Linked DNA regions of Callithrix jacchus. The protein of the gene in region 1 interacts with the protein of each later gene in a pairwise test. Links are inferred from orthologs where the notes say so. Each region holds a gene or a part of one and is shown in the gene's direction. Other genes may lie near its edges. The genes, in order: GRIPAP1 and RAB4A.

What was found.
Region 2: the proteins of GRIPAP1 (region 1) and RAB4A interact in binary tests that used the Homo sapiens proteins (3 or more experiments, as listed by UniProt). The link is inferred for Callithrix jacchus from reciprocal best matches to the Homo sapiens genes GRIPAP1 and RAB4A.

The regions. Positions count from the first base shown.
Region 1 is NC_133524.1:49,539,160-49,545,370, reverse strand, and holds part of GRIPAP1 (GRIP1-associated protein 1), read left to right. Parts: coding exon 1-65; intron 66-1,585; coding exon 1,586-1,720; intron 1,721-2,774; coding exon 2,775-2,870; intron 2,871-3,213; coding exon 3,214-3,426; intron 3,427-3,553; coding exon 3,554-3,667; intron 3,668-5,044; coding exon 5,045-5,122; intron 5,123-5,224; coding exon 5,225-5,320; intron 5,321-5,442; coding exon 5,443-5,499; intron 5,500-5,598; coding exon 5,599-5,698; intron 5,699-6,211. UniProt on the Homo sapiens protein: Regulates the endosomal recycling back to the neuronal plasma membrane, possibly by connecting early and late recycling endosomal domains and promoting segregation of recycling endosomes from early endosomal membranes.
Region 2 is NC_133520.1:21,261,069-21,267,834, reverse strand, and holds the start of RAB4A (ras-related protein Rab-4A), read left to right. Parts: upstream 1-2,375; 5' UTR 2,376-2,542; coding exon 2,543-2,573; intron 2,574-6,766. UniProt on the Homo sapiens protein: The small GTPases Rab are key regulators of intracellular membrane trafficking, from the formation of transport vesicles to their fusion with membranes.

The DNA.
Region 1 (6,211 bases):
AACAAGTGGAAGGGCTTTTGGCCGAGAACAATGCCTTGAGGACTAGCCTGGCTGCCCTGGAGCAGGTAAAGGATGCCTGGGGGCCCTTGCGGATCCCTCTCTGGTTCCCCCATCTCCATCTGCTTCTGGTCCACATCAGGGTAGGGTGGTCTGGCCCCATGCTGTTCTGTCTTTGTTTCTGTTGCTCCTTTTTGTTGGCGTCTAGCCCTTTTCTCTCTGGCCATCCATCCCTACTTTTTTGTTTTAACTTTAAAAAATTTTATTGGCCAAGCATGGTGGCTCATGCCTATAATCCCAGCACTTTGGGAGGTGGAGGTGGGCAGATCACCTGAGGTCAGGAGTTCAAGACCAGCATGGCCAACATGGCGAAACCCTGTCTCTACTAAAAATACAAAAGTTAGGCCAGGTGCAGTGGCTCACGCATGTAATCCCAGCACTTTGCGAGGCCAAGGCGGGCAAATCACAAGGTCAGGAGTTCGAGACCAGCCTGGCCAAAATGGTAAAACCCCATCTCTACTAAAAATACAAAAAAATTAGCTGGGCATGGTGGCACATGCCTGTAATCCCAGCTACTCGGGAGGCTGAGGCAGGAGAATTGCTTAAACCTGGGAGGTGGAGGTTGCAGTAAGCCGAGATTGAGCCACTGTACTCCAGCCTGGGTAACAGAGCAAGAGTCCGTCTCAAAAAAAATACAAAAATTAGCCGAGTGTGGTGGTGCCTGTAATCTAAGCTACTTGGGAGGCTGAGGTAGGAGAATCGCTTGAACCTGGGAGGCGGAGGCTGCAGTGAGCCGAGATGGCACCACTGCATTCCAGCCTGGGCGACAGAGCAAAACTCTGTCTCAAAAAAAAGAAAAAAAAATTTATTTTGTAGAGGCAGGGTCTCACTATGTTGCTCAGACTGGCTCAAACTTCTAAACTCAAGCTATCTTCCCACCTTGGCCTCCCAAAGTGCTAGGATTACAGGCATGAGCCACGGTGCCCAGCCTATCTGCCTTTCTTGCATTCTAGCTTCTCTCTAGTAAAGTGCATAAAGTGCATTAATCGTAAGTGTACACCCAGTGAATCCTCTCTTCCTTTCTCCCTCTCTCTCCCTCCCCCTGTCGCTGTCACTCTTTACTCTCTCTCTCTCTCTCTTTCTCACCCCACTGCTGCCATAGCCAACACCCAGATCAAGGAATAAAGCACTTTTAGTACCCCAGAAGGTCCCCTTTACCCTTTCACAGTCAGTGCTTCCCCAGAAGTAACTATTATTCTGATCTCTAGCAACAAAGATTCATTTTGCTTGTTCTTTAACCATATAAATGGAATCAGCTGCTCTTTGTCTCTGACTTCTTTCTGGCAGCATTATGTAAGTTTATCCATATGCAGCACAGGTCTGTTCTCTTATTGTTGTGTGATATTCCATTGGATGGAATACCACATTTACCCGTTCTCTTCATTGTTTTTCTGTTTGAGATTTCCTCTCTCTTCCTGGTTCTCTTCCCACCTCCCTCCCTGTTTCCCTGGATCTGGGAGGCTCATACCCTGTGCCTGGCCCCTGGGGTCCCTTTCACTCTACTTCTCATCACCACTGCTTTCTCCAGATCCAAACAGCAAAGACCCAAGAACTGAATATGCTCCGGGAACAGACCACTGGGATGGCAGCTGAGTTGCAGCAGCGGCAGGCTGAGTACGAGGACCTTATGGGACAGAAAGATGACCTTAACTCCCAGCTCCAGGTAACACCTTTGGCTCTGGCCTGTCTCCTCCTGGTTCCCTAAGTAATGGCCCAGTGAAGTCCTCAATAAGGTGGAATAGGAAGACTAGAATTAGAAGGACCTAGGTTCCAGTCTGGCTCCTTATTAGTACCTGTGTGTCCTGGGACAAGTCATTTCACTTCTCTGAAACTGAGCCTCTTCCGTTAGTTAGGATATCCATTCTTTTTTTTTTTTTAAGACATAGTCTTGCTCTGTCGCCCAGGCTGGAGTGCAGTGGTGTGATCTCAGTTCACTGCAATCTCCGCCTCCTGGGTTCGAGTGATTTTCCTGGCTCAGCTTCCCAAGTAGCTGGGATTACAGGCACCTGCCACCATGCCCTGCTAAGTTTGTATTTTTAGTAGAGATGGAGTTTCACCATGTTGGTCAGGCTGATCTCCAACTCCTGACCTCAGGTGATCCACCTGCCTCAGCCTCCCAAAGGATATCCATTCTGATTCCATAATAGAAACCAAAATAATAGTGGATTAAATAAGATAGAAATTTAGTTCTCTCTTGTTAAAAATCCAGGTAGGTTGTTCAGGGATGGAGTGATGGCTTTCCAGTTATCAGTGACCCAGGTCCTTTCTCCATTGCTGTTCCTCTACCTTCAACACAAGACTTTTATCTTAGCATCCAAGATGGTTGCTGAAGCTCCCCAACCATCATGTTTGCAATTTATTGGGAAGGAAGGAGGAAAGGAGGCAGGGAAGAGCGTGCCCCTTTCCTTTAAGAGTATAACCTAAATTACATTCACCGTATACAGGAATAAATCACATGGCCACACCTAACTGTGAGGGAGGAGGGGAAATATCTGCTAGACAACTGTATGCCCAACTATAAATTTTATTGCTAAGGAAGTAAGGGAAAATGAATACTGGGGAACAAGTAGCAGTCTCTGCTATATTTCGGATCCAGAAATTGAGATCACAATACCAACTTTACCAGGGAGAAGGGAGATGGTCTATTAGATGGTCCTGGGTGACTAGCACCTGCTAGGTGCTCTTTATCAAACTCATCCCCTTCGTGTCTGCATTAGGAGTCATTACGGGCCAATAGTCGGCTGCTGGAACAACTTCAAGAAATAGGGCAGGAGAAGGAGCAGTTGACCCAAGAACTACAGGAGGCTCGGAAGGTAGGGTAACATGAAGGTTTAGCAGGGAGGATGAGGGGTAGGAATTGGCTCAGTCGATGAGCCATGGGAGGATGGGGGTAGGTGATATAGCCAAAATATGTGGGGATATGAGGGAAAGGAAAATTGACTGGTTTGTGGTTGACCAGTTTCTTGGCCAAATCCATGAGAGTGGGAGGGGAAAGAAAGAAGTGACAAGTTCCATAAGGATAGGTGAGTACCTTAGCCAGTTCAACAGGGATGGGAGGGAGTAGAGTTTGGCTAGTTCCTTGGTCATGGGAAGAAGATGGGAGGTCTTTTCTTGGTGTTATGGAAGGAAGTTGACTGCCATCCTCCTGGCCCCCAGAGTGCTGAGAAGCGGAAGGCCATGCTGGATGAGCTGGCAATGGAGACGCTGCAAGAGAAGTCCCAGCACAAGGAAGAGCTGGGAGCAGTCCGTCTACGGCATGAGAAGGAGGTACTGGGAGTGCGTGCCCGCTATGAACGTGAGCTCCGAGAGCTGCATGAAGACAAGAAGCGTCAGGAGGAGGAACTCCGTGGGCAGATCCGGGAGGAGAAGGTGGGTGGGTAGATGACAATGCCTTTCCTCCTCTGAAACCACAGCATTGCTGATAGACCAGTGTGTAGTGTGTGTGAGGTGCCTACTCCTCTGCTTGCCTGGCCCATGACAGTCTGCCCCATCCCAGGCCCGGACACGGGAGCTAGAGACTCTCCAGCAGACAGTGGAAGAACTTCAAGCTCAGGTACACTCCATGGATGGAGCCAAGGGCTGGTTTGAACGGCGCCTGAAGGAAGCCGAGGTGAGTTGGTGATGCCTGGTCCTCACCATGACTGGAGCCCTCATGTCAAACCATAGAAGCAGGAGTAGTCAGGCCCTGGAACTTTCTGAGATGTTCTGAGCTTAGGGATATCCTCATAGTCCTCTGACTCAATAGCAGCCCTCTGGACTGGATCAGGGGATGGCCATCAGATAGGACATACTGTCACATGTTCAAGGCTGCCCTGCCTTTGTGCAAATTTCAAAAGGCACTTCTTTCTCCTGAAACAGTACTTCTGTCAGGAAATTAATGCAATACACTGATGTTATTTGAACAAGAACCTGCTGGGTGTGGTGGCTCATGCCCGTAATCCCAGCACTTTGGGAGGCCGAGGTGGGCAGATCACTTGAAGTCAGGAGTTGGAGACCAGCCTGGCGAACATGTTGAAACCCCGTCTCTACTAAAAATACAAAAATTAGCCAGGTGTTATGGCTGGCACCTGTAATCCCAGCTACTCAGGAGGCTGAGGCAGAAGAATCACTTGAACCCAGGAGGCAGAGGTTACATGAGCTGAGATTGTGCCACTGCACTCCAGCTTGGGTGACAGAGTGAGACTGTCTCAGAAAAAGAACTTTTGTTGCCATTTTCTGGAAATCTTTTTTTTTTTTTTTTGAGACGGAGTCTCGCTCTGTCATCCAGGCTGGAGTGCAGTGGTGCCGTGTCAGCTCACTGCAACTTCCGCCTCCCGGGTTCAAGTGATTCTCCTGCCTCAGCCTCCTGAGTAGCTGGGACTATAGGCACGTGTCACCATACCCAGCTAATTTTTTGTATTTTTAGTAGAGACGGGGTTTTACTGTGTTAGCCAGGTTGGTCTTGATCTGACCTTGTGATCCGTCTGCCTTGGCCTCCCAAAGTGCTGGGATTACAGGCATGAGCTACCTCGCCTGGTCCATTTTCTGGAAATCTTATAATACATTGAAAGGAATTGTCATGTAGCAGTGGAAAGCACAGGTGGGAGCCAGTTGTTTGTCTAGATTTAAATCCTGGCTGGGCTGCTTCCTAGCTGTGTGACCTTGGGCAAGTTATCTTACCTCTCTGTGGCCTGTTTTCATCAATGGTAGAAAGAGGATAACAATAATATCTACCATCTAGGTATTATGGGAGAATTATAGAAAATGAGTAGTAAGTGCTGTGTTATGTTTTGTTAAATAAGAGAAAATGGTAATGGAAATCTAGGTCAACCATGTGAATGGTGCAGACCTAGATGTGAACTTCTGCATACTGCCTAAGGGCGTGTGGGGTTCCCCACAGGAAGGGTCATTTCTGCATACCTCTGGACCCCCATTGCAGTCCCTCATACCCCTAACGGGGATGATGTCTTCTGGGAGGCTGTGGCGAGACCTGGGACTTGTCTTGTAGGAATCCCTGCAGCAGCAGCAGCAGGAACAAGAGGAAGCCCTCAAGCAGTGTCGGGAGCAGCATGCTGCCGAGCTGAAGGTGCCTCTCGCATGATGGTGTTCCTCTCTCCAGATAGTGACGGGCCCCTTGGGAGGACAGAGGCTTCTCTAGCCGAGACCTGAGCTGCTTTCTGCTTTGCAGGGCAAGGAGGAGGAACTACAGGATGTTCGGGATCAGCTCCAGCAGGCCCAGGAGGAGCGGGACTGCCACCTGAAGACCATTAGCAGCCTGAAGCAGGTCAGCAAACCCTGTACAGCCCCAGACACACCCCTGATCCTCTGTGTGCATCAGGGCAGGGGGGGAGCATGCTGCAGGCAACTCTTCCAGCACCCACCAGCCATGCTTGCTTTCTCCCACAGGAGGTGAAGGACACAGTGGATGGGCAGAGGATCCTGGAGAAGAAGGGCAGTGCTGCGGTAAGACAGAGGGATGCCCAAGCATGGCTCCCTCCTACCAGTAGCCTCCTCCTATAGGCCCACTGGGCCTCAGTCCTAATCTTACCCCCTACCCCAAAGCTCAAGGACCTCAAGCGGCAGCTGCATCTGGAGCGGAAACGGGCAGACAAGCTGCAGGAGCGGCTGCAGGACATCCTCACTAACAGCAAGAGCCGCTCAGGTGAGGGACCAGGACAGGAAGAGGAGGCTGAGGCAGAGGGGAGGCAGGGCCTGGGCCTGCAGGCTGCAGGTCAGTCCTGCATCTTCCTCGGTTGTGCTTTCCTGCTTCTGTCGCTCTAGAACTTCATCTGTCTTTTACCTTTTCTTTGTCTCTCCTCTGATTCTTTCTCTGCATTCTCTGTTTATTTCTTTCTGTCTCTTTTTTGCTGTATCTTCTCTGTTTCTGTCTCTGCCTCTTTCTCATTTTGTTCTTTCTCTTTCCTCTATATTTGCCTTTATCTCCTTACCTACTTTCTCCAGTTTTCTCCTTTTTTCCTCCCCTCTTTCTTTTCTCTGTTCCTTTATCTCTTCGTACTGTTCTATCTCTGTCTCATTTTTCTTTCTTCTGTTTGTCTGTTTATATCCCTGTCTCCTCACTGTATGTACTATACACACTCCCACACCTCACTTGGTGTTTCTAAATCTGTTGTATGTAATCTCTCATTCTATAAATCTCCAAACTCAAGTCCAGGGT
Region 2 (6,766 bases), on another chromosome or scaffold:
ATTAGATGTAAGGTTCTGCCAGATCCTTCAGCATTGTCAGGGAGCCGGAAGGAAAGTATCAGATACTTGAAGGACCTACGGACCTGGAAAAAAGTGGGATCTCCTTTCAGCTAGAAAAAATCCTTCTCCATAATTATATTTCCCTCAGACAAATCTCCAACATGCCTAGGCTTTTGTATATCTGTTTTCAGTCTGTCACAAACCTCCCCCAAAGAGAAAGGAGATGATATCTGAAGAAAACCATAAATTAATCTTGCAATAATTTTTTCTTTCATACAATCAGTAGTGCCTCAGAATCAAAGTGGTCTCTAAGGATATTTTGAAGAAATTCATTTTCTTTCAAAGATCCAAAGTTACTGAGATGCAGAGAATCTTCCACAGTATCATTCAAGGATACTGAATGGCTCCTTAAAATCTCACCGCTGCATATTTCTTCTTCCAGTTGTGATACTGCTGTTACACGTGCAAACTAAATGATCTCTTTGGGTGGTTTTTCCAAAATAAATAGTCTTTCCCAAAAGCTTACCTAAGTCTTCATTTTCCACAAAGTAGAAAACTACCCATGGCTTTGAAAGAGCAGCATAATTTGTATTTCTACCACCTTGTCCAGGTTTCGGGGTTCTCCAGTCCAGTTTCAGTCAATAACGCTAACTATCACTGCAGCTCAGTGACTTCTTCCTTGTCCATAGCAGTTTTTGACAGAAAAAAAAAACCAAATCTAACAAATGGGAATGACTTCAGGTAATGCTGTTTTCTTCCCACTGTCTTTCCTCTGAAATGGTTTTAATCAGAACCAATTTGTTGTACTCAGGAGCCTTAATCAAACCTGACATGCAGAGAACCAAGCGAGAAAGCAACAAAAGATCTGAGCCATTGAACAAGGAATATATACAAAACAATTTTAGGAAATTACAGCTCTCACAACTTTTCAGCATGAGGCCTTCTCTGTAATTTAGAAAAAAAAATGCATTTATTTGTTATTAGGATCAGAGAGAAGAGAAAAATACCCACCCAAATAGCCACTGGGGAAGAGGGAAGCTCTGATGACAATTTATGTGGAGGATGGAGCCAAACTGACTCAGGAAAAAAAAAAAAAAAAAAAAAAAAAGTATGTACTGGCATTTTCCACACAACCCAGGTCACTTGGGAACTAAGCCAAGGATATTTTGAGCATTCAACTACCTATTGTGAACAAGGCTGGGAACTATGAGGCGCTACGTGGCCCTGATCATGCTCAGATGGGCCAAATTATCAACCAAAATTCTCTTTCCCATAAATGTTTATCTCTACATTTCCCACAGAAGGGGATTCAAACTCACTTTTGCTTCTGAAACCAAACTATCCAAAGCCAGGTGAGATGACTCACGCCTGTAATCCCAGCAATTTGGGAGACCAAGGAGAGAGGATGCTTGAACTCACCAGCTCAAGACCAACCTGGGCAACATAGTGAGATCCAATCTCTACCAAAAAAATTAAAAATTAGCACGGTGTAGTGGTGTGTTCCCCTAACCCTAGCTACTCAGGAGGCTGAGGCAGAATTGGCTGGGCTGGGCTGACAGAGCCAGACCCTATTAAAAAATAAAAATAAAAATTCCTAAATTTGGAAACATCCCCAACTGAGAGCCAAGAGATACGTCTCAGCCGTAACCCAGAATCCTGTAATACGGGATGTGGAGAGGTTACTGTCTGTAGGCTTGTGGTGACCCTTCAGCACCTGGGCACCTTGCACTTCTGTGGATCCGCCCACATCCGCTCAGCTCCACCCAAGAGGGTCGGGCAGTTGGGAGTGAAAGCTTAGTAGCTTCCCAACAGGTGAATGAACCTGCCTCCCACTCCCAGGGCGGCCTCTGGCCGTACACCTGGGGCCTGCTGCCTCCTTGTTACACATTAACCAAGTCTGGCCTCGATAGTAACACCGTCAGGGAAGTTTCTTCCTGGCTGACAGCCACAGATGATGAAGGTGGACAACGTCTTAACGGAAACGGGCCAATTTGGCAAATGGACTGCTTTCCTCTCCAGTGCTGGCACCTTCCTCCTTTGTCCGGCAGCTGGACCCCACTGTCCTCAGCCCTCTGTCACCCCAAGCCTGCCCACCGCCCGCCTCTCCCCGACCTTCCCTGCGGGAAATCCGGGCTCAACCCCCAGATCCCGCAGCCGCAGCTCGGCCCGCCCGGGCGCACACCGCCAGGCGGCCCAGGCCATGCACGTGCTTGCGCCGCGCGCCGAGGTCCCCGTGCGCCCCGCCCAGGCTTCCCCGTGCGCACGCGCAAACGCAGGCCCGGGCTGGCGGCGGGGAGGGGGCGGGCCTCGCGTAGCCCTCCTCCTCCCGGTCGCGGCCGGACCGAGGGCGGAGGGCCCTGCGCCTGCGCGGAGCCGGAGTCCGGCTGGACTGCAGCCGCTGGGAGGCCGGCGGTTGCCGTGGGGACCGGTTGGGCCCCTCCCTCCTCCGGTCCCCCTCCCCAGGGCCTTCCCCACCGCGACACGCCGGCGGACCGCGGGCGAGAGCAGCCGGTGACCCGGCGAGAGGCGGCGCCGCTCCAAGATGTCGCAGACGGCCATGTCCGAAACCTACGGTACGAGGCCCGGGCTGGCCGGGCGCGCGGGTCGGGCCTCGGGGGGCGTCGGCGACGCTGGGCAGGGCCTGGGCTGTGGGGGTCTTGAGGGTCTTTGTGGCACCGGCCAGAGCCGGGGGACGGATCTCCAAGTGTCGGCGCTTGGGACGGGGATGGGTGCGCGGGCCGCGGGGGGCTCGGGGTGGGGTAGCGGGTGTGCGGGCGCGGGCAGGGCTGTTCACAGCGCACTGGCGTGATTCGCCTTTTCAAGTTTCCTCCTGCTCTTTCTCCGCGCTTGCACTCTTAGCGTTTTCCCCTCCGTCTAATGTAAATAACTGAAGGTTTGGAAAGCCAGCTTAATGTTCTGTTTCAGCTGCGATATTATCCCCAGCGAGCGGTGTGAAGGGCTTGGGGCGACGCCTGTGCTCCTCAAACACTCCAGTTTGACCTTTCCTGGTTTGGAATTCCTTGCTTTACGTTGGGATTACAGTGAGGAGTTATTGATAGACGAATTCAGCTCTTCCTCCGGAGACCTCTTGCTTCGTTTATTTCTCCCTCTCTCTCAGTGGTTTTTAGCCTTTTCTGGGTTGCATTTTGGCTATTTATGAACATGTCTTGTCTCTTGTCTCCTTAAGACCGTAAGCGCCTTGGAAGCAAAGTCCTGGCTGTTTAATCTTTGTTCCCCTGCAGCACTCAGACCTGGAGGTGCTCGACAAATATTGTTTTGAATAAGCGAAAGCTTTCCCAATGCATATACTGTGTCCTTCCTCTCTCCCTCTCCCTCTCCCTCTCTCTCTCTCTCTCTCTCTCTCTCTCTCTCTCTCTCTCTCTCTCGTCTCTCGCCTTGCGTGGCAAGAATAAACAACTTGTACTTTGTATCAGGGTTGAATATTTATAGAGGTTTACCGGTCCCTAATCACTCTTTCAGATGTTAGTTTTCTCAGATTAAGACTTTGATTTGGAGTTTTAAAATCCCAGAGAGAGGCTCAAGATCAAAATTACATACCTCAAGCCAAATTAGTCCTGTCTCCATCTGTCCGGGCGTGCTGCTTTCCTTCCCTGCAACAAATGCTGTGGAATGGCATTAGGGAAGCAGGCACCACGCTGGGAGGGCTGTAAGTACTGCAGAGACACGGCTCTGCTCTCATGGAGCGTACAGTCTGTTGAGGGAATGCAGTATTAATCCAGTTGTGATACTAATGAGTGAATAACTTAAAACCAGGCAAGAGTTCTGAAGAAATGTGGTCTGCGAAAGTGTGTTAGAAACAAAGTTGACCCAGACAGGGGTGTCAGGGAGGCATTAACCAGGCAGCACACAGAACATCTCAGGCCTGTGGGAAGGGCAATTCCAGAAGGGTGTTTCAAGCATTACGCTGGGGAGATGGATGAGGAGGCAGAGAGAAGAGGGCCCTGAGGAAGGCGTCAGTCTGTCTCCTAAGAAAAAAAATGAGAACTTTTGGAAGGGTTTCCGTGCTGGAGTCACAGTGCATTTGGTCCAACATAAGTGAGTGACTCCTGTGACTGGTACTGCCCTGCTCTTGGTGACACAGGGGCATGACATCTGTTCCTAGAAGGCTTAGGATATCTTCCAGTAAGTCGATGCCTTCATCATGACAAGTGTTTGCAAATGCTTCTGCAAATGACAGTGGTCTGGTTCTTCCTGTAGAGAACCACAGTCAGAAATGTAAGGAAAACGTACTCTTTAGCAATTTTTGGTTACAGCTTTGCACTTCTTTCAAGTGCTCTTTAGCTCACACTTAGTTTCTTTAACCTGAGTAAGGAGCAGGGAGCACTAGGGAAGGGTGGAATGTCCAACTAAGAAAAGCAAATGGGGGTCATGAATCAGTAAGAAAGGACTGGAAGAGTTCAGGAGATAGAGCTTTTAGTGCTTCATTTTTCATAGACACAGCCGATAAAATAGAGCATATCTTTGGCATCTCCACTTCAGACACAGTTAACTGAACTTCTCAGCATCACAGATTGACTGATTAAATTCTAATCATAAGGCTTTGACCATTAGTATTCTTATTTCATGGTAACTTTCAAATATATTTTTACTTTCCAACTCTGAATTGAATTTTTTCTTCTGATAGAGGAAATTAAAAACTAGTAGGAACTAATCAATAGAAAATGAGGCCAGACAGGATGGCTCATGCCTGTAATCCCAACACTTTGGGAGGCCGAGGTGGCCAGATTAGTTGAGTTCAGGAGTTTGATACCAGCCTGGCCAACATGTCGAAACCCCATCTCTATTAAAAATACAAAAAATTAGCAGGATGTTGTGGCACACTTGTAATCCCAGCTACTCAAGAGGCTGAGGCATGAGAATTGCTTAAACCCAGGAGGCGGAGGTTGCAGTGAGCCAAGATTGTGCCGCTGTACTCCCACCTGGGCAACAGAGTGACTCTGTCTCCAAAAAAGAAAGAAAGAAAATGAGTTTTAGAGAGAGCAAGCAGGACAGCTGAAGTTTGCCAAGCTAAAGTAAAAGTCACCTAGAACCAAGTCCTGAGCTGTCACTTTCACTTATCATTGGCCATATTTATACAGCATTGTTTCTTAAAAGTCAAACAGTCAGGCTCCCTTCTGGACTTTTGCCTCTGAGCTGGTGAAAGAATGTTTGCCTAACCTTTAAATTCCTTTGTAGTCTGTGCTCATTTTCTCCTCTGTAAAAGGAGGCTCTGTGCAGCTTGACAGAGAGATGAGGAAAAATCAAGAGCCAGTGCATGAAATGAACTGGTTTGGTTTGGTTTTGAAACAGGATCTCACTCTGTCACCCAGGCTGGAGTGCAGTGGCACAATCATAGCTCACTGCAGCCTCCACCTCCCCAGCTCAAGTTATCCTCCCACCTCAGCCTCCTGAGGAGCTGGGACCACAGGTGCACGCCTCAACACCTGACTCATTTAAAAAAATTTTTTTTGTATGTTGCTGTGTTGCTCAGCCTCGTCTTAAACTCCTGGGCTCAAGTGATCCTCGTGCCTCCACCTCCCGAAGTGTTTGAGATCACTGAAATCAGTCATGAGCCACTGTGCCCTGCTGAAATGTACTGTTAATGAGCTACCTCTAATTAATATGCTCACTTAATATACCTTTAACATACTAAAGCTATATATCACCTTCCATAGACTGAGTAGCATTCAACATTTTTGTGGCTTTGAGGTCACTAACCACATGAAGACTGTACTTTATGTAATATCGTGAAACAAATTGAAATCACAGATAGGTTTCAAATGAAACGGTAATCTGAATATTAGAAGCAAGATTCTCCCAAATGTCATCAGGTACACAAAATTCTTAAAGCTCTGGCCAGTTAGTATGGCCTGGGACTTCCCAAGGAACTCTGCTTCAGCCATCTGAGACCTGGGAGATTACAAATTGGTTGAAAGTAATTTTGATGCCAAGCAGCGATGTTCAGAAAGGAGCTAAAAAAGTATATGTATGGGAAAATGCCAGAAATTTCCTTCAAAATTTAAGTGCTGGGGTAGTTTGAGAGTGAGGAAAAATCTAATACAAAATCTCTACATATTAGAGTTTATGCCATCTACAATGGGAATAATTTATGAAACAGAAGAATATAACTCAAATTGCTGGTTCTATGCTCATTTTTATAAAATATACTCTTAAAGTTTTTATTTTGTGCTTCATTTTGAAAACAGCACAGTATTAAAATATTTACCAAATAATTTTGGGAATCAACAGAATAGTTTCCTTGAAAAAATATAGCATTGTAAGCTATTTGGGTTGAATCGTGTTCCCCAAAATATCTGTTAAGGTCCTAACCCTAGTACCTGTGAACATGACCTCATTTGGAAATGGGATCTTTGCAGATGTAATCAAGTTAAGATGAGGTAATACTGAATTGTGGCGGGACCTAATTCAGTGACTGGTGTACTTATAAGATGAGGGAAACTTAGACACAAATGCGTTCAGAGAAAATGAGATGTGATGATGGAGGCCAGGATTGGAGGATGCATCTACCAGCCAAGCAGTGCCAAGGGATGGCTGGCACCCACCAGAAGCTAGAGAGAGGCCAGGAGGGATCCTTCCCTCTAGCCTTCAGAGACAGCTTGACCCTTCCAGCACTTTGAATTTGAACGCCTGGCCTCCAGAACTGTGAGACAAGGAACTTGCTTTGTTTGAAGCTTCCCAGTTTGTGGTTCTTTGTGATGACAGCCCTAAGAAACTAATACATAGGCTTTGCTCATCAAAATAAGAT